Nothobranchius furzeri: one gene and its partners. The protein of the gene in region 6 binds, or shares a complex with, the protein of the main gene of each other region. Links are inferred from orthologs where the notes say so. Each region holds a gene or a part of one and is shown on either strand. Other genes may lie near its edges. The genes, in order: cetn3, nup160, ranbp2, nup205, nup188, nup214 and nup153.

The links.
Region 1: nup214 (region 6) and cetn3 share a complex: the UniProt entries of both Homo sapiens proteins name them as parts of the nuclear pore complex. The link is inferred for Nothobranchius furzeri from reciprocal best matches to the Homo sapiens genes NUP214 and CETN3.
Region 2: nup214 (region 6) and nup160 share a complex: the UniProt entries of both Homo sapiens proteins name them as parts of the nuclear pore complex. The link is inferred for Nothobranchius furzeri from reciprocal best matches to the Homo sapiens genes NUP214 and NUP160.
Region 3: nup214 (region 6) and ranbp2 share a complex: the UniProt entries of both Homo sapiens proteins name them as parts of the nuclear pore complex. The link is inferred for Nothobranchius furzeri from reciprocal best matches to the Homo sapiens genes NUP214 and RANBP2.
Region 4: nup214 (region 6) and nup205 share a complex: the UniProt entries of both Homo sapiens proteins name them as parts of the nuclear pore complex. The link is inferred for Nothobranchius furzeri from reciprocal best matches to the Homo sapiens genes NUP214 and NUP205.
Region 5: nup214 (region 6) and nup188 share a complex: the UniProt entries of both Homo sapiens proteins name them as parts of the nuclear pore complex. The link is inferred for Nothobranchius furzeri from reciprocal best matches to the Homo sapiens genes NUP214 and NUP188.
Region 7: nup214 (region 6) and nup153 share a complex: the UniProt entries of both Homo sapiens proteins name them as parts of the nuclear pore complex. The link is inferred for Nothobranchius furzeri from reciprocal best matches to the Homo sapiens genes NUP214 and NUP153.

What each region holds. Positions count from the first base shown.
Region 1 is NC_091746.1:37,904,279-37,908,289, reverse strand, and holds the start of cetn3 (centrin-3), read right to left. Parts: upstream 2,801-4,011; 5' UTR 2,657-2,800; coding exon 2,640-2,656; intron 1,789-2,639; coding exon 1,650-1,788; intron 1,285-1,649; coding exon 1,170-1,284; intron 1,087-1,169; coding exon 895-1,086; intron 526-894; coding exon 482-525; 3' UTR 1-481. UniProt on the Homo sapiens protein: Plays a fundamental role in microtubule-organizing center structure and function. As a component of the TREX-2 complex, involved in the export of mRNAs to the cytoplasm through the nuclear pores.
Region 2 is NC_091744.1:79,813,594-79,817,093, reverse strand, and holds part of nup160 (nuclear pore complex protein Nup160), read left to right. Parts: intron 1-85; coding exon 86-182; intron 183-1,525; coding exon 1,526-1,631; intron 1,632-1,709; coding exon 1,710-1,870; intron 1,871-2,002; coding exon 2,003-2,063; intron 2,064-3,120; coding exon 3,121-3,237; intron 3,238-3,500. UniProt on the Homo sapiens protein: Functions as a component of the nuclear pore complex (NPC). Involved in poly(A)+ RNA transport.
Region 3 is NC_091747.1:23,210,481-23,214,604, forward strand, and holds the start of ranbp2 (E3 SUMO-protein ligase RanBP2), read left to right. Parts: upstream 1-1,324; 5' UTR 1,325-1,459; coding exon 1,460-1,531; intron 1,532-2,587; coding exon 2,588-2,655; intron 2,656-2,723; coding exon 2,724-2,835; intron 2,836-2,916; coding exon 2,917-3,069; intron 3,070-3,250; coding exon 3,251-3,481; intron 3,482-3,604; coding exon 3,605-3,759; intron 3,760-3,876; coding exon 3,877-4,072; intron 4,073-4,124. UniProt on the Homo sapiens protein: E3 SUMO-protein ligase which facilitates SUMO1 and SUMO2 conjugation by UBE2I. Involved in transport factor (Ran-GTP, karyopherin)-mediated protein import via the F-G repeat-containing domain which acts as a docking site for substrates.
Region 4 is NC_091744.1:88,200,816-88,204,315, forward strand, and holds part of nup205 (nuclear pore complex protein Nup205), read left to right. Parts: coding exon 1-148; intron 149-231; coding exon 232-348; intron 349-477; coding exon 478-615; intron 616-710; coding exon 711-861; intron 862-1,143; coding exon 1,144-1,349; intron 1,350-1,430; coding exon 1,431-1,613; intron 1,614-1,902; coding exon 1,903-1,953; intron 1,954-2,164; coding exon 2,165-2,374; intron 2,375-2,462; coding exon 2,463-2,700; intron 2,701-2,772; coding exon 2,773-2,962; intron 2,963-3,026; coding exon 3,027-3,147; intron 3,148-3,224; coding exon 3,225-3,306; intron 3,307-3,370; coding exon 3,371-3,500. UniProt on the Homo sapiens protein: Plays a role in the nuclear pore complex (NPC) assembly and/or maintenance. May anchor NUP62 and other nucleoporins, but not NUP153 and TPR, to the NPC.
Region 5 is NC_091746.1:61,212,051-61,216,049, reverse strand, and holds the start of nup188 (nucleoporin NUP188), read left to right. Parts: upstream 1-1,199; 5' UTR 1,200-1,259; coding exon 1,260-1,285; intron 1,286-2,453; coding exon 2,454-2,508; intron 2,509-2,706; coding exon 2,707-2,780; intron 2,781-2,853; coding exon 2,854-2,938; intron 2,939-3,030; coding exon 3,031-3,111; intron 3,112-3,216; coding exon 3,217-3,261; intron 3,262-3,346; coding exon 3,347-3,439; intron 3,440-3,524; coding exon 3,525-3,644; intron 3,645-3,721; coding exon 3,722-3,933; intron 3,934-3,999. UniProt on the Homo sapiens protein: Component of the nuclear pore complex (NPC), a complex required for the trafficking across the nuclear envelope. Required for proper protein transport into the nucleus.
Region 6 is NC_091746.1:57,218,654-57,222,153, forward strand, and holds part of nup214 (nuclear pore complex protein Nup214), read left to right. Parts: intron 1-110; coding exon 111-285; intron 286-891; coding exon 892-1,037; intron 1,038-1,240; coding exon 1,241-1,277; intron 1,278-2,041; exon of another isoform or gene 2,042-2,268; coding exon of another isoform or gene 2,269-3,500. Other genes in the region: general transcription factor II-I repeat domain-containing protein 2B-like, read right to left, coding at 2,269-3,500. UniProt on the Homo sapiens protein: Part of the nuclear pore complex. Has a critical role in nucleocytoplasmic transport.
Region 7 is NC_091759.1:94,286-97,785, reverse strand, and holds part of nup153 (nuclear pore complex protein Nup153), read left to right. Parts: coding exon 1-63; intron 64-145; coding exon 146-244; intron 245-324; coding exon 325-415; intron 416-738; coding exon 739-840; intron 841-2,288; coding exon 2,289-2,936; intron 2,937-3,039; coding exon 3,040-3,219; intron 3,220-3,500. UniProt on the Homo sapiens protein: Component of the nuclear pore complex (NPC), a complex required for the trafficking across the nuclear envelope. Functions as a scaffolding element in the nuclear phase of the NPC essential for normal nucleocytoplasmic transport of proteins and mRNAs.

The DNA of each region.
Region 1 (4,011 bases), about 19 Mb from region 6:
TTATTAAAGTATGATGGTGCCGGGTCTGACGACTCTGGCTCTTTGGGAAATGACAAATGAGTAGGGTTGGCAAAACAATTTAAAAATAAATATGCCACATTTAACTAATAACTGCAACAGGTCAAATAGGATACGAGTGAAACAGATCTGATCTTCTGTGTTTTACTACATCACATTAACACGTTCCTAACGGAGCTTCAGACTCGTCTTCTACACAAACACACTCCATGAATAAAAGCTCGCTTCTTAAAGAAATGCCAGCAGGTCAGCATCATATTGACACTTCATGTCTACGAGAGGAACTGAGCAGTGTGAGCAGATGTTGGTCCAGACACGATCTGGTGCTTTTATTTATCAAACCAAGTCAGAACAAAGCTCCAGGCTCCTGATAAAGTCCAGTCCACCTCAGAAGCAAGAGAACAAGGCCCATATCTCCTCCCAATATGGGCAAAGAGTCCAACTTACAGATGGGGAAACCTCTTCATGGGTCTCTGGTCATGATGGAGAGGAACTCCTCCTGATTTACTGAAAAGAAGGGAAAAACACCTGGTCAGATCTACTGGATTTACCTGGAAAGCTTAGACGCAAGAATGAAAGAAAACAAACAAAAAGCGAAGCAGCAGTGGATTTTTGTTACTTTAACTGAACATGTTTACACATTGTCGTTAGTAAATCTATTTTGTTCCAGGGCAGCAGATGCCTGCTGACGTGACAGGATCTGGTCTAACAGTGAAAGCAACAATGTTAGGAACAATCATATAAATAATTAAAATGCCTGTGTGTGCCAGAAGATGCAGTGATGATGTTGGTATTGTTGCATCTGCGGCTCTAATCAGACACAAAATCACAACAAAAGAGAGACAGAGTTGCTCTCATCTCAGACTCCGGTCTTACTTTCTCCATCCCCGTCTGTGTCAAACTCGTCGATCATGCTGCGTAGCTCCTCGTCGCTGATGTTCTCCCCGAGTTCTCGAGCAACCCGTCTCAGGTTCCTCAGGCTGATCTTTCCTGACTCGTCATCGTCAAACAGCTTGAAAGCCTTCATGATCTCCTCTTTGGGATCTCGCTCCAAGATGCGATCCGTAACTGTTGAGGGGTAGGGAAAAGGTTTAGTAGCTAATGAAGCACCTCAAGCTATGAGGTAATACCAGAGCCGATGACCACCTTACCCACTTCGCTGAAATCCTCAAAGGTGATTTTCCCACTTCCCTCTCTGTCGTAATCCTTCAGAATCTTCAGAACATCCACTTTCTTCACTTCAAAACCGAGAGCGCGCATCGCCACCTGACAAGATGTTTAAATGTTGTTTTGGTTTGAATTCAGGATTAGAACAATTAGTAACTAGCACTAAAACAACAAATAAATGTTATTGCTGTAGAACGTTAGCTCCAATTCCCCTGGAGCTTTATTTCAGCAGGGTGCCTTCAGACATGGAAAACCCATTAGCGTTTCTCCAAAAGGTGATTAAATGGTATTTAGTTACTTTTACTTACATAATAATACATAAATACCTGGTGCTCCACATTCACAGCAGTTAAAGAAAAATAGGAATGATGAGGTTATAAAAGCATAACTTATATACGGCATTATTTCAGGCACAAAAACCATAAGGTAACCATAACAACCACCACTATGGCCCATTTTCTTACCTTCAGCTCGTGATAGTCAATCTCCTTATCTTTATCCGTGTCAAATAAGTCAAAAGCTTCTTTAATTTCATGCTTTTGGTCCTCGGTGAGCTCCCTCCTCTTCTTGCGCTTGGTTGTCTCAGCTGCAAGATCAGTTCTGCTGAAACAAACACACATGCAGTCTCACCTCAGACACTACCTGTATCACAGCCATGACTTATTAATGCATTAACCCATACACTTTGTTATCCAATGAGAACTAAACCATTTTCTGTAATGTTTATTGGGGTCTCTCTGATGACACAGGGTAGGCTAAAGGATCTTAAAAAAATCTACCTTATGCCTTGTTCTAAAAAAAATCAAAAGCAAAATAACCCAGAAGAACATCTAAAGCTTTGTAGGTCAAACTTGGTTAAGGTTTAAGGTCATGTGTCAACAATAAGGTAAACCTCATTCTCCAAAGCCTCTGCTGAACAACAACAACAACAACAAAAACAACCCACATTTACCAAAAACATTGGGAGGACCTCCAAAAGTCTGGGGGAAATTGTTTATTGACAGATGGAAAAAAACAAAACAAAACAAAAAACTAGTACATTCGGGTCCCCCACCGTTTCTCCGCCAGCTTCTTTGTAAACTGTTGTGTTTAGCAATATTATTTCAAGAAAATCCCTAAAAATATATATCTTAATCATTTGGTCATTGCTGTAGCTGTGAAATTCATCATGTTTAGTGAATATCACTAATTCTAATCTAATTCAGATTACGATACAATTAGATAATATTACTCAATTTACAGTTATACACAAGGGACTCGTTCCCTCATAAATGTCTTATCCTGATAAAAAAAATAACATCTACGCCTATAATTGTACAATTTGGCAGGACGAAATCATCTTGACGAGACAAGCGAAGGCGTACGTTTTTCAACTGGGGAACAAATCTCGACGTACCACCGGTTTCAACTGAACTGTAACAGCCACATCTCGCGACAAAAGGTTAGCTCCTTACCTTAGAGATAAACTCATTCCAGGTGAATTTATAAAACCTTTAAACCAAATGTTATTCTGAATGCTATGTGGCTACAGCTTCCAGCAAACACAACAAATCCGTTTATCCGCGCTCACACACCAGGAATCCTATTGGTCGCTGGTTGCCAGGCAGCAGTTAGGCGAGATCTGGTTGGTTAATGTTACTTCTTCAAGGCCGCTTACCCGGTCGTTGTCATTGCTCTATGCAGTCAATTAGAGCACTATTGCCACCTCGTGTTCATAACTGATACCACAGTCTATATTATACATATGGATGGATATACATATGCCCGGTATATATATATATATATATATATATATACACATACAAACCAATGATGAATCAAAAATATTCTGACACATCACCATTGCATAAAGAAGAAGAAAGGGCCTGTATATTATGTAAGGTACCTAAATTCTCCTAAAATTTTCAATATCTGGTGAATTTGGACATAGAGAATTATTCTAATGACTTCACGTGCTAATGTAACACTCACAAGGTCTTTATGAACCTCAAATCTTGATTTTGTTTTAAAAAAAATTTTGGGGTGGGGGGACACCCTCTCCACCAGCTGTTAAAGTCTCATACGTTCAAGCTGCTTTATAAAACTATTATTCCAAGCCCAGTTAAATCTTAACTTTCAGAAATTCTAAGCAGCCAGAGTTCAGAGTTGCCAAAAAGTGCTGCTTTTAGTTTTTGCCCACCAAAGAGTGCTCTTTCATAGGAAAAATCTTCTTTCTCTAAACTAAGTTGTGGATGTTCTAACATCGCCAGGACTTTTTGAGTGCCACAGGATTTTAATCTATAACAATGTAGTATGTTACCAGTAGTAACCTTTGTCACTGTGGTGCCAGCTCTCTTCAGGTCATTCACTAATTCCCCATATGTACTTCTGGACTGTTTCCTCACCATTCTCAAGATCATTTGTACCCCACAAGGTGAGATCTTACACAGAGCCACAGGTCGAGGAATACTGTCAGTGATTTTGTATTTATTCCAGTTTCTAATAATTGCTGCAACAGTTGATCTCTTCCCACCAAGTTGCTTACCTGTTGTGGATTTACTCAAGCCAATCTTGTGCAGGTGTACAATCCTGACACTGATGTCGTTTGTCAACTCTCTGGTCTTGGCCATGGTGGAGTCTGACTGACTGAAGGTGTAGACAGGTGTCTTTTATACAGATACCAGTTGCCACTAATTCAGTCAGCAAGTGGAGGATAGATAAGCTTCTTAAAGAAGAAGTAACAGGTATGTGAGGACCAGAATTATTGCACATATGTAGGCACTAAATATGTATCTTCTGCACCATGATACAAATAATTTCTTAGAAAATTTTACAGTGTGACTTCCA
Region 2 (3,500 bases), on a different chromosome or scaffold from region 6:
CGGACAGATTCTCACACATCTGATCTGTAAATATTCAGACTGATCCTCCGGTGATGTTTCAGCTGAATGCTTGTTTGTGTTCCAGGCAGCTGGATTGTCTTCGCCAGCTGGTGGTGGTTCTGTGTGAACGCTCTCAGCTGCAGGATTTAGTCCAGTTTCCCTACGTCCACCTGCATGATGAGGTGAGCCCTGACTGAAAATCTTTTATTTCCTGCAGTTGTTCATCGTATGGCATCTTTACCTTTACCATGATATCTTTACCATTACCATAGTATATTTACCTTTACATTACATTACCATGACCATGGTATCTTTACCTTTACCATTACATTACTGTGGTATATTTACCATTACCATGGTACCTTTTCCTTTCCCATGGTATCTTTACCATTACCATAATATCTTTACCTTTACCGTGGTATCTTTACCTTACATTACCATTATCATGGTATCTTTACCATTACCATAATATCTTTACCTTTACCGTGGTATCTTTACCTTACATTACCATTATCATGGTATCTTTACCATTACCATAATATCTTTACCTTTACCGTGGTATCTTTACCTTACATTACCATTATCATGGTATCTTTACCATTACCACAGTACCTTTACCGTTACCATGGTATCTTTATGTATCGGAAACAGTCCAAACACACTTGTAACCTATGCATGTTATTGTTTGTCTGTAAATGGGTCCATGTGGAAGTTCTGACTGGTCGGTATAAAGGCTCCACCTCTGAGGCAGGTCTGGAGCTGATCACCACTGGGCCTGATGGGGAGCTGGGGCGTAGTGCTTGGGTGGATATCTTTAACCCTAACGGTTTCATTAGATCGATAGGCAGATTGATTGGTGCTGTGTCTGCAGTGATGCGGGCGTTGTACCGGCCTGTCGTGGTGAAGAGAGAGCTGAGTCAGAAGGCAAAGCTCTCGATTTACCGGTGGATCTACGTTCCTACCCTCACCTATGGTCATGAGCTTTGGGTAGTGACCGATAGAATGAGTTCGCGGATACAAGCGGCCGAAATGAGTTTTCTCCAAAGAGTGGCTGGGCTCTCCCTTAGAGATAGGGTGAGAAGCTCGGTCATTCGGGAGGGGCTCGGAGTAGACCTGCTGCTCCTCCAGATCGAGAGGAGCCAGTTGAGGTGGCTCGGGCATCTGGTTAGGATGCCTCCTGGACGCCTCCCTGGTGAGGTTTTCTGGGCACGTCCAACTGGGAGGAGACCTAAAGTAGACCCAGGACACGGTGGAGGGACTATGTCTCTCACCGGACCAGGGAACACCTTGGGATTCCCCCGGAGGAGCTGGCCCAAGTGGCTGGGGAGAGGGAAGTCTGGGCCTCTCGCCTTAGGCTGCTGCCCCCGCGACCCGACTCCGGATAATCGGATGAAAATGGATGGCTGGATGGGTTTCATTCATCCACAGTCTGGCAAAGCCTGAACAGATTTTCTTCTCTGCAGTTGTTTTGTTGCATGTGTTTATTTCTAAAAATGTAATATTTACCTTCTCACGGGACCTTCAGGTAGTCAGCATCATCGAGTCCCGTGCTCGTAGTTTGGATCTGCTGACCCACAATTACTACGAGCTTCTGTACGCCTTCCACATTACCCGACACAACTACAGGAAAGGTGCCAAAGCAAACATGCAAATTCCACCTAATTATACGTGTGTGCGACTGCATAGTGTGTGTATCCGTGTTCACTCAGCGGGGACCGTCATGTTTGAGTTTGGGATGCGTCTGGGCCGGGAGATTCGTACGCAGCTTGGCCTTCAGAAACAGGTGAACTGTTACCTGGCTGCTCTTAACTGTCTCCGCCTCATCAGGAGTGAGTACGCCTGGATTGTTCAGCCAGCATCAGGGAGCACGGTATGCTACACACACGCACACACACACACACACACACACACACACACACACACACACACACACACACACACACACACACACACACACACACACACACAGCTGTGTTGATAACGATGTGTTGATCTGCTGCAGTATGAGCGACCTGGAGCGTCTCCAAAGAGGAATTCTGATGGAGAGTTTTCTGCTCCACCAGGTGAGATGCTGCTGGTGTGAGGTAAAGGCGCGACATGGGCAGCCCCAATCTCTCTCCCTGTCGTCTCTCTGATATCATCCTGCCTCACCTTTCAGTAAATGATTACAGCTGGTGTAATTACTTAACTACACCAGCTCAGTGGCCTAATGGTGGAGTGTCCACCCTGAGTCTGGGAGATCAGGGTTCTAATCCCGATCAGGTCATACCAAAGACTTTAAAAATGGGACCCAATGCCTCCCTGCTCAGCATTAATGGGTTGGGTTGGGGGTTAAACCACCAAATGGTTCCCGAGCACAGCCACAGCTGCAGCTCACCGCTCCCCCAGGTGATGGACCAAATGCAGAGAACAAATTTAGCACACACATCAGTGTGTGTGACAAGTAATGCGTTTTTAACTTAGACTTATGTTTTTAATGAATACTGATGTAACAATCAGAAAAGTAATATATTTTACTGCCAAAGGAGTAACGGATGATGATACTTTTATGTGTACTTTGTTGTATCTTCAGAATTATTATTATTCTTTGGACCCTATCACCACCTCTAGATATGATCTGTCCTCCAAACACACCCACATCACCCCGCTTCTCCTCCAGCTTCACTGGCTGCCAGTCAACTTCAGGGTTCATTTCAAGATCCTGGTTCTGGTCTATAGGGCCTTACATGGACAAGCACCATCTTACATTGGTGATCTTCTCAGTCCCTACACCTCCAGCAGGTCCCTGAGGTCCAGTGACCAAAGCCTACTGGTTGTGTAGCACCAGGTTAAAGGTCAAAGGTGACAGATCATCTGCTGCTGTGGCCCCCAGACTCTGGAACTCTCCTTGTTCTGCTCTTTCTACCAATTCTGCCTTTCTTGGGATCTACTGATTACCTCTGTCTTCTCTTTCTTTTAACTCACATTTTTATCACAAAATAAAATTTTATCATGTTTATGATATTTTAATTCATTTAAAATATTTTTGAATTTTGTTCTCATGATGCACCGTGCGATTTTTATCTTGAGAGGCGCTACAAAAACGATTGTTTTCTTTTTTTCGCTACTGTGTGTCTCCAGCTGCAGGTAGACATCGGGTGGACATTCTGGAGCTGAATGATCTGGAGAGGGAGTACTTTCTGTCTCGGGCCCGCCTCTCTCTTGCACAGCACCACCCACCATCTGCAGCTATTGCAGGTAGTTGTGCACCTTGTGTAGGTCGTGTGTATTTGCACACATCACTGAAACCTTGTTCACACAGAGTTTTAGCCTGACCAGCTGGGAACTCTTGTATTCAAATAACCCCGCCCCCTGAGAATTCTAACTGAGCCAATCAGCGCTGAGCAGCGTACGTCACACACCATGTTGCTCATTTTCTCAAACATGGCGTCTGAAGCAGAGTTAGGTGCAGGTCTTCCCTCTGTTCTAAATGACTTGAACGCGTCTTTAAAACCAAAACA
Region 3 (4,124 bases), on a different chromosome or scaffold from region 6:
GTCCCTGAGGTCCAGTGATCAAAGCCTACTGGTTGTGCAGCACCAGGTTAAAGACCAAAGGTGACAGATCATTTGCTGCTGTGGCTCCCAGACTTTGGACCTCTCTCCCCCTGAGCCTGAGATCAGTGGACTCAGCGGTCTCCTTTAAAAAGCAGCTGAAGACTCACTTGTTCAAGCTGGCTTTTGTATGACCTTCTTCACCACTCTCTCTTTATTCTGCTCTCCCCACCTATTCCACCTTCCTCAGGATCCACTGATTTCCTTCTTTCCCATTCACTCTCTCTCTTTCTTAACATTTTTTCTTTTAAATCGCAACAGCTTATTCTTGCTCATTTTAAATATATTTTAAACATTTTCAAAATGCTTTTTTATATTTTTACAATTTTTATATTTTTTGTTTTTGTTTTTGTGAAGCGCCTCGTGATTTTTATCTTGAGAGGCGCTATAGAAATGATATTTTCTTCTTCAAAACCAAATTTGTCAAGAGACTGAAAAATGAAATTATGCTCAACTGTATCAAAGGCTTTGTAAAAGTCTAAAAACAAAATGAAACTGTTGTCTTGAACAAGCTCAGGGTAATTTAGGAGGTCTACAACAAGCCTAATATTATTGGTGATATGTCTGTTCTTCATAAAGCCTGACAGTGTGTCATCAATGATTGAGTGTAGAGTTGATTTTAACCTTTTAGCAAGAGTGACAGCAAGGATTTTATAATCATTATTGAGAAGACAGATAGGGCGCCAATTATCAATGAGCAATGGATATTTTTTGGGTTTAGGAATTAATATCGTTAGACCTTGAGTCAAGGTGGGTGGAAGGACACCTCTTCCAATACTTTCATTGAAAACCTCATACAAAAAGGGCTAAATCTTGGGATTACTCCTGCAGAATGTACAGACCCATGTGAAAACCAAATAGTATTATCCCATTGTGTTTTCCAAAAACTAGCATCCTTTACAGTAGAATGACTTTTTTGAAAGAAAAAAAAATCTGGTAACCCCCTGGCATTTAGAGAAAATAAAGAAAGCACGACAACAACAAAGAACACCAACAGTAAAGTTCAAATATTATTGAACAACCTGTGTTGAAAAGTGTATAAGATTGGACCACCGTAACTAGTTCCCAGCAAACCAATAAGTAAACTGCAACACCAACACATTAACTTGAAAATGTGTTAACATACCCATATTAGCGAGGCGGAGGTGGTCTCCCCCATGGTCTCCCCTCTGTTTTAAAATTCTGTGCGTCAGCGTGCGTCAACGGAATATTCGTTCCTTATTGGTTAAAAGATCGACCCACGTGACCTTTGCCTTTTGACGGGAACGACTCGAGACTGCGCACTACCATCGTGGGGAGTTAATGTGACGTAGGAGGAGAAATAAATATTGTGGATTTCGTTAACTCGTATTGTTTTATACGGTATCTTTGACTATTTTAGACTTCTTTGATTACTGCGGCCATGCGGCGGAGTAAGGCTGAAGTGGACCGTTACGTTTTCTCTGTACAGAGTTCCTCTCCTTCACTCAAAGAGGTAAATGGTTCCCCCTAGCTATCTGTTAGCATGCCGCTGCCATTAGCAGATTAACATGTGACATTCAACTGGTGTAAAAACTAAAATGGGACATGATGTAACTAGACGATTAGTGTAGTTCTTAGTTAGACGGTGTGTAAATAGTTTTTGCACTAACTGACTTTGGTTTAAGCCGTTAGCTTTCCCCGGCTGGTAGCGCTCTGCTAGCTTACCCGGCTTGTTTCGGTCGGGAAATGCGCGGTTTAGCTTTGGGAGACGGCATCAGCCTGTTAGCCTCCTCGCTGACAGCTTTATTCCACTCATGTTATTTTGGTGAGACGCGTAAATACATCCACCTGGATTCGCACATACAAATAAGTGAAAGTCTTCTTTAGGAGCCGTGTGGCACTGGGAGAGACCTGACCCTAGCAGATTCAGTGATTAAACTTTTATTCCATAATGATATCAGACATTATGTTGCTGTGAATGAAATGTTTCATTAAATCATTTCCCCATAACTACTGAGCAATGTCTTATATTTCATTAAAGTCTGACTTTACCGAACTTGTTATTTTTAATTTTAAAAATGGCCAAGAGGTGATGTCGGGATCTAGGAGCTGATATTCAGCATGTTTCCACTACATCGGCCTCTTAGAGCTGATTTTACAACGGGCACATCCGTGGGCAGACAAATTTTATCTAAATGAAAATGTTCCTGAAAAACATGTTCTAAAACGTTGACAACTGACATTTTAACCGGTTTTAGACTTAATACCAGGTCAGTCTATTGATTTGTCTGATTTATTTAGGCTAAATGCTTGATTTTGATGCTGAGCATTGAACAGAGTGTTGGTTAAATTCAGAGTTTAAAAACTGATTAGGTTAAGAAATGTTGCTGACATTAGTGACATTTTTGCGTGCAAATAATGAAAACAATGTCTAGCTATCACTCATGAAAAGAGGCCCCAAACATCAGCAGGACATATCGGCTATTGGCTGACTGTTACCTCAACATGTCGAACGCTCATTCAGAAATATCACCGGTGATGTGCTTTATTGTTCTGTTGTCCCCTACAGAAGCCAGTTAAGGGGTTTTTATTTGCCAAGTTGTACTTTGAGGCAAAAGAATATGAGCTTGCAAAAAGGTAAGGATGAACATCTCCACTGATTCCATCTTTAAAACATTTGTTGACATGTTTAATTCTCTTTCTAGGCATGTATCAGATTATCTCAAAGTACAGGAAAGGGATCCCAAAGCACACAAATTCCTCGGACAGCTCTATGAGCGAGATGGAGACATCAGCAAAGCAGTAGGATGTTACAAGGTAGAGGGAACTCTATTAGATAGCATTTTCTGATTGGTGTTTTTTATTGATCTTTAATGTTCTTGACCTCTACTCGCGCAGCGCTCAGTGGACTTGAACCCAGTGCAGAAGGACCTGGTGTTAAAGGTAGCCGAGTTACTTGTAAAGAAACATGAATGTGACAGCAGAGCAGAGTTTTGGGTGGAGAAAGCTGCAAAACTCATGCCTGGACACCCAGCAATCTACAACCTAAAGGTTTTTATTTTCTTTCTCCTTCATCTGAATTAAAACTTCTCTTTGTACTCTCCATGTCAGCTGAGAAGTGTTTGTTCTGTTGTGTACTTAACCAACAGCTGTCTGTTTCTTAGCCAGTTGTGTGTGTACTAATAAAAAGCTGAAGCCACACTGAGCTTTTTGTGCACCTGTCGTTGTTCAGGAGTCTCTGTTGAGTCGTCAGGGCCAGCAGGGCTGGAACCAGTTGTTCGACCTCCTCCAGGCTGAGCTGGCAGCACGGCCAGCTGATGCTCATGTGAATGTGAAGATGGTTCAGCTGTTCTGTCAAGATGGTCGGCTTGATGAGGCTGTTAAACATTGCCTGGCTGCTGAGAAAAGGGGCCTGCTGCGCAACAGTCTGGACTGGTACACCGTGGTGTTGACCACTCTGCAGGTCAGAACATCTTTTAAATATACTGGAAGTATAAATTAGCAGTTTTTATTTCTGTGCTTTGGACTTGTTTTATCATAATAAACCGCAATGTTTGAGTTGAGAATGAATCTGAAGAATGGATAGTTGTTGTTTCAGGAATATCTGGATCAACCCAGTGTTTCCAGTACTGAGAAGATGTATCGGCATCTCCAGAGAGAAATGTTGTTGACACGCTGCAGCCTGCTGAGGATTACACTGTCTGGAAGCGGAGTGCAGCCGAGCCTGGAGGCATTCAGGGGGTAGGTCAGGTTCTAGACAGTCTGTATATCGTGAGAAACTGTTCAGTTTAGTATATTCTGTATTTGCATGCATTTAATATGATTTTGATCACTGCACTCATTCTTTTTGTTTTGCAGTTTTGACCAAGCAATGCAAGAGCTGAGCAGCATTGCCAGTCGCCATGCAGATGAACTTTCTGAGGTGTTTGTGGAGATGAAAGGTCACCTGTACCTGCATGCCGCAACATTGCTGTTGAAACTGGTGCAGGACCGCCAACAAACCTGGAGGGCTGTTGTTGACCTGGTGGTGCTGTGCTACCTGCTAGCTTGTCAGGTACTTCCTGTGGTGTCTGTGTTGGTGCAAACTAGAGTTGTCACGGTAACCG
Region 4 (3,500 bases), on a different chromosome or scaffold from region 6:
GTCTCTGGCTGATCAGGCTCTGCTAGGAGACGTCTTCCTCTTTATGAAGGAAGGAATGTTGGGATGTGAGGGTTTTGTCCAGGAAGAGTTTTATATCCGCCGCCTCCATTCACTCATCACAGACTTCCTGGCCCTCATGCCAGTGAAGGTTAGAGGTTTCAACAGTGACATCATAGATTGTTGTCATCACGGAGGTTTGAATCATGCTTTAACAATCGCTTTAAACTGCAGGTGAAGCAGCTTCGTAATCGAGCCGACGAGGATGCCCGCCTGGTGCACATGTCCCTACAGATGGACGGTGAACTCCCGTCATCGTTGCGGAAGGATTTAGATCATCTCATGGTTCTGGTCAGTCGTCTTATCTAGCAAGTGTTGAGGATAGACTTAAGGAGCTGCAGCAAAGATGCAAGAAGTGAAACCTTTCTGTTGTTTGCGTTTGGAGTTTAAGCTTGTTGTGTTTGCTGTGTGTGGTTTCAGATCGGGGAGTTTTACAGTAACGATCCGTTTGGCTTGGAGCTGGGTTTGGAGTTCTGGTGTCCCACAGAGTCTCTCCAACACACCTCGCTGCAGGGGTCCTACCTGGGAATGGCCCTGCAGCGGCCTCCTCATAAACAGGTTGAACTTTCCTGACCTACAGAATTCGAGACAGCTGCACCATGACGCACTTTTGTGTGACTTTCTTTGTAAAGTGTTGTTGTTTTCAAATGCAGGTGGTTCTGTCCAAGTTTGTGCGTCAGATGGGAGACCTCCTGCCCTCCACCCTGTACCTTTCTTATCTCTGCATGCTGAAAGGCCTCGCTAATGGTCCACAGTGCGCTCATTACTGCTTCAGTCTTCTTAAAACAAACGGAGCTACACACAGTAAGAATGAACTGTTCTTCATGTAAACACATCACAGTATTTAGAGGAACAGTTATTTAGTAGAAATCCAAAAGGTCCATTTTTACAATAAAATAATCATTTTTATGATTTATTAAAATGAGTTTAGGCGACTTTAGTCCGATAATCGTCCTGAAACCGCTTGCTCTTAAACGCGTGAAGAATGGCTAAACGGGTTTGAGGTTAGCAGACTCTGGGCGCTGCTGTTGCTAAAGCTAAAAATCCTTGTGAATGTCTGCTAACCCTAACCCTACTCTGCTGTAGGCGACAACATCCAAGGAGTGTCGGGCAGCCCGGTGTCCTGGGAGCATTTTTTCCACTCCCTCATGCTTTACCACGAAAACCTGCGACGGGATCTCCCTAATGCAGACTCCTCCCACTACCGCCACCCGCCTCTCAGGGGCATCACACAGAGAGAGCTTGAAGGGCTGACTTCCTTTCTGCAGTTACTCACCACCATCATTTCCTGGGTACCGTACAACATGTGGTCATATTTTTAAAAGCTAACATAAAAGCAAAGTTTAAAAACTCTTATTATGTTTTTCTCTCAGAGTGAGAATGCTCGTCTGGCCTTGTGTGAACATCCCCAGTGGACCCCGGTGGTGGTGATGTTGGGGCTGCTGCAGTGCAGCATTCCACCCGTTTTAAAAGCTGAGCTCCTTCGGTCCCTGGCAGCCTTCGGGAAGTCACCAGAGATCGCCGCTTCCCTGTGGCAGTCGCTGGAGTACACCCAGGTAGAACCGAACCGTCTTCCACAGGGATGGAAAACGGTTCCTGGAGCCCTGAGATGAAACACACACACACACACACACACACACACACACACACACACACACACACACACACACACACACACACACACACACACACACACACACACACACACACACACACACACACACACACACACACACACACACACACACACACACACACACACACACACACACACACACGAGAAACCAAGCTTTAGGTTGCTTTAAGTATTTTTCTGTAAGAATTTTTATTTGTTTTTTGCTCTAGATCCTTCAGACAGTTCGAGCGCCGGGTCAGAGGCAGGCAGCAGGAATTGAGGTGGGTGTTTTTATTGTTGATGACAGATTTTCAATAAGAAATACTATTTGAATAATTATTACTTGATAAAAATGTAAAATCAGCTTTACTTGAGGGAGGTTTTTGGGGTTTTGTTAGATTTTTAACAGCTTCATTATAAACATTTATTATTATTTAGTTCTAAATCTTCCTTTTAACTAGACGGGACAGGTGACGGCAGTGTGTGTTTCAGGTTGAGCTGAATGAGATCGAGTCCAGCTGTGAGGAGTACCCTCTGACGCGAGCCTTCTGCCATCTGATCAGCACGCTGGTGGAGAGCAGTGTGCCTCTTAATCTGGGGGTGGGCCTTCGTGTCCCCGGCTTCCAGCCCTATCTGAACTTTCTGCGTGAGTCTGTGTTTCTTCCCTTTCCCACAAGAGCGTACCGCCGTCCCGCTGAGAAGGTAGCTATCTCTCTAGCCTTTAGCGAGCTGTCTGTTGTGTGTTTTATAACTAAAACAAGCGTTTATTCGTTTATTCCTCACGCGTCAGTGGGAGGTGGCCGACTCTGTCCTGGAGGTGTTCCACAAGCTGCTGCGGAGCTATGAGCCGCAGCCATCAGACTTCATCCAGGAGACGGTGGAGCTGCAGGGCGAGCAGGTCCCCGCTGACAAGCCCCCCGGCCACAGCATCATGTTCCACCTGCTGAACGACTCGCCCATGCTGGCTCTCTGCCTCAGCCTGCTGGAGGAAGGGGCTCGCCAGCTGGACACCTACGCACCCTTCCCTGGTGAGAATACAAATGGCGTTTATGTGCACGTTGCTATGACAACAGGGCTCGTAACTCCCCCGTCCATTACAGGTAAAAAGCACCTGGAGTCAGCTGTGCTGCACTGCCTCCAACTTCTGGACCTGACTCTGCAGAAGGAAGTGGTGTTCATGGATCTTCTCAGGGAGAGCCAGGCCTCCATGCTTGTGTCTCCGCTAGAGCAGCTCTTCCAGGGAGTCAGTCCTCAGACCCGACGAGCCGATCACATTGTCAACATTGCCAGGTTTGTGCATGCGTAATAATAATTGAGTTAGTTGTCATCCCGCAGCTCTGATGTCCTCCTGCAGGTATCTGTACCACAGCAGCTCCAACCCAGAAGCAGCTTTCCAGAGTGCTAAGATTCTGCGGCGCATCGCCACCTACCCCAACATCCACGTACGGCTGGTGGGAGATTTCACACACGACCAGGTATCTACTACCAGATGTGTTTCCTTTCAGGGTCCAGGTGTGTTTATTGTGTTTAAGCAAACGCGTCTGTGCTTCAGGCTGTGAGCGAGAAGCTTTTGGCCGGCTTTGTGGAGTGTCTGGATAATGAAGAGGCAGAAGAAGGACCAGAAAAGGAAGATGGTAACTTCTGGTCTGTTACTTGCACACCACTGGAGTACTAACAACTTTAAACTGATGAACCAAGGTTCTCAACCATCAGACTTGGACCAACAGAAGAAGATGGCAAGAATTCGACACGAAACCCAGATCCACATCCTGAATCTGCTCATCACCTCCTTGGAGCTGAAGGCACCTAATCTGGCTCTTTACCTTCT
Region 5 (3,999 bases), about 4.0 Mb from region 6:
GCTTCTTGTTTATACCGATGTAAAACTCTCTTGTGAATACATTTCACATAATACATTTCCTCATTTTGATCTTGGCAAATGGTCAAAACTTCACCATTTATTTCCACAGGTGGGAGTAACTTAACTATATACGTGTTGGTTAAACTTTCAATTCTGGTACCGAGGGCTATTTTAAAACTGCTCGACATGTTTCTGAAAGCTTGTCTAGCTGCGTGCTATTCTGCTCGATCTGCTAATGTAAAGTAACTGTATATGACGTCACGTCTGCGAATTTATGCACTTTGAGGCGCATGCGCATTCTAATTAATTGTAACCATCTGGAGATGATCTGTCAAGTAGCTCCACTCTGAGGCGCATGCGCATTCTAATTAATTGTAAGCACCTGGAGATTAGCCAGCTGTCAAACAGCTCCGTCTGCGTGTCGGCGGTCACGTGGTTAATGTTTTCCTCTTCCAAACAGCTCAGCGCTGCCAGCGTCTTCTGGCAGAACTGGATGCTGAAGCCATCATTTTCCCATTTCTACAGTAATATTTTGGTGATTTTTGACAATAAAGTGTATTGATTACTGTAACCGGCAGCTGTCTGTTTCGCTTTATATAGAGGAGCGCTGCCGCTGCAGCGTCCTTGACAAGCCAGACAGCCATTCTAGATATTTATAGTTGTTCCTAGCAGTAATTAACATCCACACCAACTATTCAGAACGACTATTTCAGATATCTGGAATGTAACTCCTAATTCCGTTTCTTCTTTCTACAATGTTCATTCTTGACAGGAAGTCTGTAATTGTGGAAGCGCTGTAGAAGCCAATAAACATGAATGGGAAATGTGATGTCATTTGTTACATTTCACATATCTAAAAAAAACGGTCATGCTGGACAGTAGAAATGTTCTCGTGGATATCTGGAATTTTAATTTCTACTAGGAACAATACAACACATATCCAGTCTGCTTAATGTTAAAACGAGATATCTGAAATAAGTGAAACCAGTTTTAAAATAAAAGAAAATGTATTCAGTGATAAGTAAACAGAACACCTAAATATGAATTCAAACAAAAAATGAAAATTGAAAATGAACAGCAAAAGTGCCTCAGTAAAGTAAAATTTAAAACAAACCTGCTGCAAGGAACTGAAATTAAACGTTTTGTTCAGAGGAGGGCAGTAAAGCATCATTAAGCACAAGTCCAATTCACGAAGAAGAAAGTTTCCGTTTGTAAAGACGTCAGACACTTTACTAACCAATCACAGGGCAGAATCTAAGATGGCGGAATCGGAGATGAGTGTCAGGTAGAAACATAAGCGACTAACTAACATTTATTGTTAATAAATAGTTAAGAGACGTTGATAATGAGTAAATCTGGCTACAGCCCGTGTTCATTTATTAAATCACAACTGTGGCAACAGAGTCATTTAACAGTCTGTTTTAAAAAGAATTAGCACCATGCTCGTATAGCTTAGCATGTGCTAGCAGCTAAACATTTCAAAAGGTTTTTGTAGCGCGGCGCTACCTCACATGTCAACAACAGTCAGAGCTGTTGTCAGCCAGGGAGATTTTTCTGGCAGAGATAGAAAACGCGTGCTGATGTCAAAATTATTACGTCTTGTAGTAAAAGAGGCTAGTCTATTGAAGCTAAACCCATCATTTAGACACGATGGAAAAGACCGTCTTAAGTTGGAATTATTTTAACGGACAGATTTTCTAAAATGAACCCAACAGAACCTTAAACCAATCGTAGTAAATAAACTGTATTATTTAACAGTTTTACCATAAATAAAAGGCTTATTGAGGAACATTAGAGGACATTTAAAAACTGCTGAATCTGTCAGACCGGTGTTGAGAAAAAACTTATGGGATTTCAAAGAGGCAGATTGACAAAGTTGTTTTATATCAAAGCTGGTACAGAAACACGATTTAAGAGAATTTAGTTCAAGGTTTTAAGGAAAAACAATAAAGCATTTTAATTCTGTATCAACCTTTGTATTTAAGGCAGTCAGTGAGGATGTTTGAAGTGTGTGTAGTGGTTCCATTCATATTTAGTTGTATTGTTCTTGGTGATTCAGTACAGTGCATTAGCTCAGCATTCTCTACAATCTGACCTTGATGATCATTTGGGTTTGAATTTCAGTTTTCTTTAAACACAAACTAAATCTCTCTTATTGTGTTTTAAATGCATTGGGTGGGTGCATGTGCAACATGCGTTTGACAAACAAAGATATGTATAACCTGATTGACAAACTTCACATCTAATTGAGGCATAAGGAGTCCGGGCAGGTCTACAGTTTTGCCCAGGACACATTTATGTTTTATCAGTTAAATGCATCTGAGGTCACTCACAAATGCAGCCTGTCAAGTCAAATTTGCATATTGTAGTATTTTCCTTGTAGTGGATCTGCATCATATCTCATTTATTAAAGGTTATTGATTTGCTGACTTTCACCTCTCTTCTCCTCTTAGGAGCTGTAGAGAGTTATGGACCATTTTGCTGGGGAAGTCTGCTCTGAGAGAATCGGTATGTCCTCCTCACTCAAAGAGAGCGTATGCTGAACTTGACCATCCAAAATTTTAGACAATTTATCCATAAGTAATTTCCTGGTTTAACTCATGCTATTCTAACTTCTATATAAACACACACACACACACACACACACACACACACACACACACACACACACACACACACACACACACATTTGTATTTTTGGTGCAGGCTCAAATAGAGGGAGAGCTTGACAAGCACTGGGACAGACTGCATCAGGGACTCAGTTACTACAAGCCACCCAGGTATAATTACATCAAGGTATTTTCACATCAGATACATGAATAAATGAGTAACTATTAGCTTCACCTCCCGTAGTTCATCCTCCGCTGCGAAAGTTAAGGAAAACAAAGATGTTGCACAGCCCCTGAAAGACTTTGGTCTGAGGATTAGTAAACTGCTGGTAAGCATTTAGATCTTTTTATGTCACAGAGGGTGGATTCTTACGTTTTCATGACTGCTGGTTCATAAGGGATTGTTGTAATAATGTTTTAGAATCTTGATGAGCAGCAGAGTGTGCAGCTTTTACAGTGCTATCTGCAGGAGGACTACAGAGGAACTCGTGATTCTTTAAAGGTGTTTGCTTTCAACTTTTTTTGTTCTATAACTTACTAGAAAAACAAAAATCCACTGGTACTAAATCATAGGTCTGAAGAGATTTAACAGTAGTTTCTGTGACAGGTTGTTCTCAACGAGGAACGGAAGAGTCAGGCTCTTCTCCTAAAGGTATGCACCCAAACTAGCATTACGTCACTTCTGTGCCATTTTCCAATCATTTCTGTTTTTACTAGTGTTGTTAATTTTTTTACAGATCGCTGATTATTACTATGAGGAGCGCATGTGTCTGCTCAGATGTGTCCTGCTGCTGCTGACATACTTCCAGGATGAGCGACACCCCTATCGGGTGAGACATATTTCTTTTTTTAAATGCATTTCTTCCTGATGTGATGTTTTTTTGTGTAAATAATCCTTGTTTTTTTTTTGTCAAGGCCGAGTACAGTAACTGTGTCAACAAGTTGGAGAAGGACCTGGTGAACAGCTATCAGTCACAGTTTGAGAACCTCTTCAAGGCTGAAGCACCAACATGGGAAACCCATGGCAACCTCATGGTAAACACTGGGTTTATTTTTACAGCAGCGTACTGTAGCCCCGTCTGCTTCCTTACACTCTTCTTCTCGTTTGCAAGACGGAGAGACAAGTCTCACGGTGGTTCCTGCAGTGTCTGAGGGAACAGTCTCTGCTGTTGGAGATCATCTTCCTGTATTATGCATACTTTGAGATGAGCCCACCCGACCTTGTAAAATTCACCAAAATGTTCAAAGAGCAAGGCTTTGGGTTGCGTCAGACTAACAGACACCTGGTGGACAAGAGCATGGACGTGCTGGTTGACCGGATCGGGTAAGGTCACCTCACTGACTTTGTATTTATGTGTTAAAATTGGATGAATGTATTTATTATTGTAAG
Region 6 (3,500 bases):
GAAAAAATGCTTTAAATTCAACGTTTAAACTCGACAGTTTCAATATTTTTATTAGAAATGAAACTGGGTGCACACACACTTTTAACCTTCCTCCTCCTGGTTCTCCTCAGCAGGTGGATTTGGCAACGCTCCGGTGTTTGGGAGCCCTCCTTCTTTCGGTGGTACCCCAGCTTTTGGGGGCGGAGCCGCCTTTGGCTCCAGCCCGTCTTTCAGCAACCCCATGGGTCCCTCCGCTAGCAAAGTGTTTGGTGAGGGAACTGCAGCGTCCAACATGGGAGGATTTGGGTAAGAGCAGAAATAAAACTACTTCTGAAGAGTAGATCGGTGCTGACTGGGCAGTTCCCATGTAAAGAAGTTTGATATGGAAGTCATTCTCATGGAACTCTGTGCATCCATTTCCAGTTTAAATACCAGGAAAGCTGCATTTGATCTATTCTGTTTCTGTTGTGGTGATTCGGCATGTGTTTTGATTGCAGCGAGTTTGGCTCAGAGCCTAAAACTATGGATCTCTGCAGGAGTAGATTATTCCCCTCAGATAATCCCACTCTGGGGTCATGCTGCCTGCAGATTAAACTGGCCTGCTCTCTCTACTTCTCCCACTGTTTTGCTTAACCTCTTCTCTCTCTCTCTCTCTCTCTCTCTCGCTCTCTCTCTCTCGGTGGGCCTGATTCCTGTGGAAGGATCTAATTCCTGCTCATATCCCCGCCTTTAAATCTCATATATTCACGTCTTCTGCCTCGCTGACATGTTTGCTTGAAGCAGAACATAATCCCTGCTCTTGTCTGTATAGATTACAGATTTTATGTTGTCATGCATTTAGGCTCATTTATGTTTTAACCAGACCATGTTTCTGAAACGCAACACACTACTCGTGTTTGCCTCTGTGTCCAGGTTCGCTTCAGCCCCCAGTGGCCCTTCCTTTGGATCCATAGCCAATCAGAGCGGCCCGTCCTTTGGGAGCTTGGCCCAGCAGGGTCCTGGATTTGGAAGTCAGCCCAGCAGCTTCTCAGGCTTTGGACAGCAGCCACAGCCCGGAGGTGAGACGTCTACCTCACAAAAGGAGGGAAAGTTTGGCTACAAAGGAAATTTGGAACAAAACTTAAAACCAGCCTTTTAGTTTTGATTATTATGTTTGCTGTTTACATCTCTTACTTTCCCTCAGAAGAGATTTATGTGAACGGTTCGTGTTTAAGTAAATGCTGCTGTTGCTTATATACGGTTTGTGTTTTTTATTTCATAGTTTTCACTGCAAACACCTTTGGATCACCTGCAAACCAGTAAGTGTGAATTCATATTTTGGTTGAGCACGGATGAGTGGCTGCACGTGTGCGGCACGTTGTCATGCCTGTAGGGTTTCCACGCTTCCGCAACGCTGCTCCCTGCTTTAATACCTCATCTAACCTCGTTTCTGTCCCTGTCCTCGCCTTTGTCTTCAGTTTAGACTCACTTCCACCATTTGGCTGAACTCGTGCACATTTTCTGTTTTAAGTGTTTGGATACAAATTTAAATTCAGTTTGTTTATTTATATAGCACCAAATCACAACCAGAGTCGTCTCAAGGCACTTCACACAGTAAACATTCCAACGCAGGTCAGGTCATAAAGCCAGTCAGTAAAAAGTTTCCTATATAAGGAACCCAGCAAAATGCATCGGGTCGCTGACTAGTGTCAGTGACTTTACAGCAATCCTCATACTAAGCACGCATGCAGCGACAGTGGAGAGGAAAACTCCTTTTTAACAGGAAGAAACTTAAATAGGTTGTTTTTAGAACAAATCGTCATTAGATTAGCTTTTTTATCCTGATGCATCTTCATTTTTATGGACTTTCCTCTTGATGTTTTCCCTCCGTTGGCCAGTGTGAGTCACATGGTTCAGCATCATGACCCTTTATCTCAGGGGTGGGCAATTAATTTTTACAAGGGGCCACATGACAAAACCCGAGTTGCATCGGAGGGCCACATTAACGACATCTTGAACCCAAGTTGGCTTAACTTTCTTAAATAGTAAAATTCACTAAATTATATATCACAAATAGCTGGTACTGGTAATCAGAAGAATACAACTAAAATAAAATAATGCAAATATTTACATTGGGCTATGCTATGTGAAACTGTGGCGCATATTCCAAATAAAACAAAAACAACCGCAACCACCGAATCAATGTCATTTTATTTTAACATGTTTAACTCAACAAACAAGAAGTTTATAGAAATGCAACAATACAATGACTTGTGTTATGTTTTCTTCAGTGAGAAATAAGTGAGTTTTTCAGTGAGAATAATCCAGCCTGTTTTGGTTTTGAACAAGGGCATTGAAATCTGGCTGAATGGCTGAGGTGGCTATGCGAAGAACAGCTGAGAGGTGGTCATCAGTGACAGAGGACCTGTGTTTGGATTTGTTGAACTTCATCACCGAGAATGTCTGTTCACAAACATAGGTAGATCCAAAGAGAACTAGCATCCTCTGAGCATGATTCCTCAGGTGTGGAAAGTTCTCTTCTTTGAGGGAGGAATAAAAGTCCAGCAGTGAGACTGACCTGAAGTGCTCTGCCAGAAGTGTGTCAGACTGCAGGTCGATGAGTTCCATCTGAACATCACTTGAAGCATTATCCACACTGCAGGTGAAGGGAGAAGAAACCATGTTCATTTCATTTTCAAGAGCTTTGAAATCTTGAAATCGCCTTGAAAACTCTGCATGCAGTACTTCTAACTTGGCTGAGTACTTGTGGAGGTGATTGGCATTTGGAATAGCCTCCTTTAGTGTTGGCAAGTGGGTCAGAAAGTTGTCCTTCACTTGGCTTGAGATAAACTGCAACTTCCTCATGAAAGCCTTTACTGCACTGTACATCTCATGCACAAAAAGTCCCCTGCACTGCAGTTTGACATTTAGTTGGTTCATTAGTGCAGTCACATCCACAGCAAATCCGAGGTCTGCCACCCAATCTTCATCTGAAAGCTCTGGGACGGCATGTCCTTTCTTCACACAAAAATCCTGAATCTGTTCTCTCAGATCCCAGACACTTTTCAGTACCTTGCTTAGGCTGAGCCACCTGACAGAGCAGTGGTAGCTGATGTCACCATGTTCCATCTCATTTTCCTCCAAAAGAGCAATAAACTGTCTGTGATTTAATGCTCTTGCTCTGATGAAGTTAACAGTTTTAGTTACAACATCAACAACGTGGTCCATCTTTAACACTGTCTTACACAACACTTCCTGATGTATAATACAATGCAAAAATGTCAATTTCTGCACAGGATTAATTTCTGTTACTTTATCCTGCATTCTCTTTAAAAGTCCTACATTTTTTCCAGTCAGATTTGGACAACCATCTGTTGTTACACCTGCCAGATTGTCCCATTTCAGTCCTAATTTTTCCAAACATGCATTTACCTCTATGAATAAGTCATTGCCGGTTGTTGTTCCTTTCATTGACTGCATGGCAGCCAGCTCCTCCGTGACTTGAAAGTCTGTAGTTATTCCACGTAAAAAGATGAGAAGCT
Region 7 (3,500 bases), on a different chromosome or scaffold from region 6:
TCTACTAGCTCCGCCCCCGAGATCACAGCTGTCACTCCTACTAAGGAAGCAGCCACAAATAAGGTTTGTCCTACATCTGCTTATTCCTACTTTTATTTTTAGAAGTGTAAAAGAACACTAGATAAAAATTTTTGTCCCCAACAAGGATCCACCGAAGGCGTCGACACCGCCCTGCGCACCGTTCACCTTTTCCTCCCCCATTGTCAAAGCAACTGCTGCCAGCCCACCTTCTTATTCCCCCTCCGTGAGTACATGCTTAAATTAACTCGTCAAATAGCCTGCTGTAAAAACACAGGTGATGCATGTTGTCTTGTTTCCTTGTAGACCGGATTTACTTTCAGCGCACCTGTAGCGAAGTTGGCTCCCTCTCTGTCCATGTCCAATGGAAATCTCGCCACACCCTCGGCACGACCAGGTGAAGGCGTTCGCCCACTCTTCATCTGTTCCTGATGGTCCACGGCAGGGGTGCCCAGTCCTGGTCCTGGAGGGCCGTTATCCAGCAGGTTTTAGTTTTAACTGCTTCAACACACCTGATTTCAATCAGCAGGTGATTAACAGGCTTCTGCAGAGCCTGATGAGATGCCGCACAGGTGATTCAACCAGTTAATCAAGTGTGTTGGAGCAGAAAAAACACAAAACCTGCTGGGAGACCGGCCCTCTAGGACCAGGACTGGGCTCCCCTGGTCTACGGTTACAGAGCATCTTGAGTGAGCTTCCATCTGTTTTCATGTGTTGCAGTGAAGTCAGTCGGAAGCAAGAGCACAGAAGAGTTTGAAGGACCTTTTAAACCAGCCAAGACGCTGAAGCAGGCCAGTGTGTTGGACCTCCTGAAGTCCCCTGGTAGGAACCTGTAGAATAATTTGTTTTTTGCGCTCTGAGGTCGGGCGGTAAGGAAAAATCTTTTCTAGCTGATATTGATCAGTCCAACAAATAACTGGTGATGTATTCACCCTCCAGAGCAATAATGGGCCCATATATGATTAAAATATTACCGTTGGAACCGCGGAGACATCAATTGTTCTAAAATATAACATTTTAGAGACTTTTTTCAACCTGAGCAACGTATCGTAGACCATGAAGAGGAAAAAGCTTTGGCGACACGCAGCAGTGGCTAACTGGCCCACTCCGTGATTGTAAAGTGCACGTTGTCGGATGTTAAAAGGCTAAAATACGTCCACACGACTGAACTGTTCGATCCCTTATTGTCGTTTGCTGTTTCCTCCGTCTTTTTCTTTTGGGGCGCAATTTTTTTTTTCTGTTTATATCATTCATGTCCCACCTGTTACCTGCGGTAAGAGGCTAACCTGTCTTCCCGCCAGGCATGAAAGCGGTGCAAAAAGGCAGCAAAATGTGCTATATGACAGTTAGCCACCATTTTAGTGAACGGTTTACTTTCTGTTGAAAGCAAAGTAACGTTTTGGACGCATCCCAGAAGCAAAGGGAAGCTTTCATGACGTCACAAGTCTATTTTTTTGCACGCTAAACTTCCAAAACACGTCAAACACCAGTTCAGATCGGGCCAGACAGGAAGTCAAACATGAAATCAGTGACAAACTTCAGAAAACTTTCAAAATAAAAGTCAGAACAGAAAATTAACCATACCGTTTTGTGTACATGGAGCCGTCTTGCTCCTCGCTATTGTGTGGACTTCTGAAATCGCGCATGGGGTTGGAATTCTCTCGTGATTTTGCGATCTCGCGGGATCGGCTGTGTCTGAATGGCTCCCAGTCGGAGGGGAGCTCGAGGGTGAAACGCCGCTGCTTTCACATCTGGTGGAAAGCTGGGGTAAAGCTACACAAACATTAGCTGTTAGCGTGTCAGTCTGTCTGCCGTGTGATTGGTCCAGCCGGGTGCAGCACTTAATATGATTGGCTATCACATCTATGGAGGAAATGTTCAAACGGATATTGCTTTCGTTCTACTGCCCAGCCCTACTTGTGGAGGACGCTATTTGGACTTTAGTGGATAAAGACGAGTTTTGTTTCAGATGGTTGTTTTCTGTCAGTGATTAGCGGCTTTGAACCGTATGTTGGACATAATTTCAAATGTAGTTTGACAAAGGTGGTTGTATCCGTGATTGGCACTAAAATCCCAGATTTCTGTATGTGTACAAAGAGAATGTGGCAAGAGGACCCTGATTTTTCTTGGAAGTATAGAATATCTCATCCTCAGGACTTATAAAAATATTATCTTTAAAAACGATCGGTGCAGGAGGTCAATCGCCCGGCCTTTTTGTGCGTATTTTAATAAAAATGTTTTTATCTTAACGCTCCGTTTCCCCTCTCTAGGTTTTGCTTCTCCCGTTGCTCCGAACTCCTCAGACCCAAACGTTGCTCCACAGCAAACACCGACGCCTCCCGCAGCACCCGTCTCAACGGCCACAACCTCCTCCTCCTCCTCCCTGCCTGCTCCTACAGAGTTTGTTAGTTTACCGAAGGCCCCTGCGGGTTGGAGCTGTGACGAATGCTTGGTTCAGAACAAGAAGTCGGACACAAAATGTGTTTGCTGTGCGGCTTCAAAACCAAACAATTCACCTAAATCCACGGAGGGCAAACCGTCAAACGACAGTGCTGTGGGGCTGGAGAGCATCAGCACGAGCGCCGCTGTGACCACGACGGGGTTCAGTCCCATCTTTTCTAAGCCTGCAGGAACCTGGGAATGCGATACGTGCATGATCTCAAACAAACCAGATGTGGTGAAGTGTGTGGCCTGTGAAACGGCCAAACCCGGGACGGGGCTCAAACCCTCTCTCACCTTTTCTTCTGCCTTCTCAACTGTTAAGACTGCACCCGCTCCCACAACCCCCATTTCCACAGGCATCAGTGGATTTGGAGATATATTCCAAAAACCCGAGGGCTCGTGGGAATGCCAAACGTGTTTGGTACAAAACAAGGCGGAGGACACTAAATGCGTGGCTTGCAAAGAAGCTAAACCGGGTAATGGCAGCATGGTGTTTTGATATTTACTTTGTTTTTACTCCACTTTCTTATTGAGGCATGTTCTTACTGAGCATCCTTTTTATGTTCAAATCGTTAACAGGAGCTACAGCGGAGGCTGCCTCATCAACCAGCAGCGCCCCAGTGTTTGGATTTGGAGACAAGTTCAAGAAACCAGAGGGATCCTGGGACTGTGACGTTTGTCTGGTGCAGAATAAAGCTGCTGATGTGAAGTGTGTTGCCTGTCAGACGGCCAAACCTGGAGCTAAGGTGGAGCCTAAAGGTACCTAAAGGCTGTTGGGATGAATAGCTTATCAGAACGGGGAAAAAGGATTATTTTTACAGCGATCCTAGAATTTAAAACCACATTAATGTTAATTGTTGACGGCTTGAGTTATGAAATGTACCAAAAACCTGCTTTCCTGTGTAAATTTTGTCTGTAGCGGCAACCTAGAGACGATTCATTCTGAGAAGAGCTGATTACTCAGTTTTCCTTTTTTAAGACAAACATTTTGCAGGTTTAAAGAGCAAGTCACCCCCAAATCACATTTTTTTTTTTGCTGA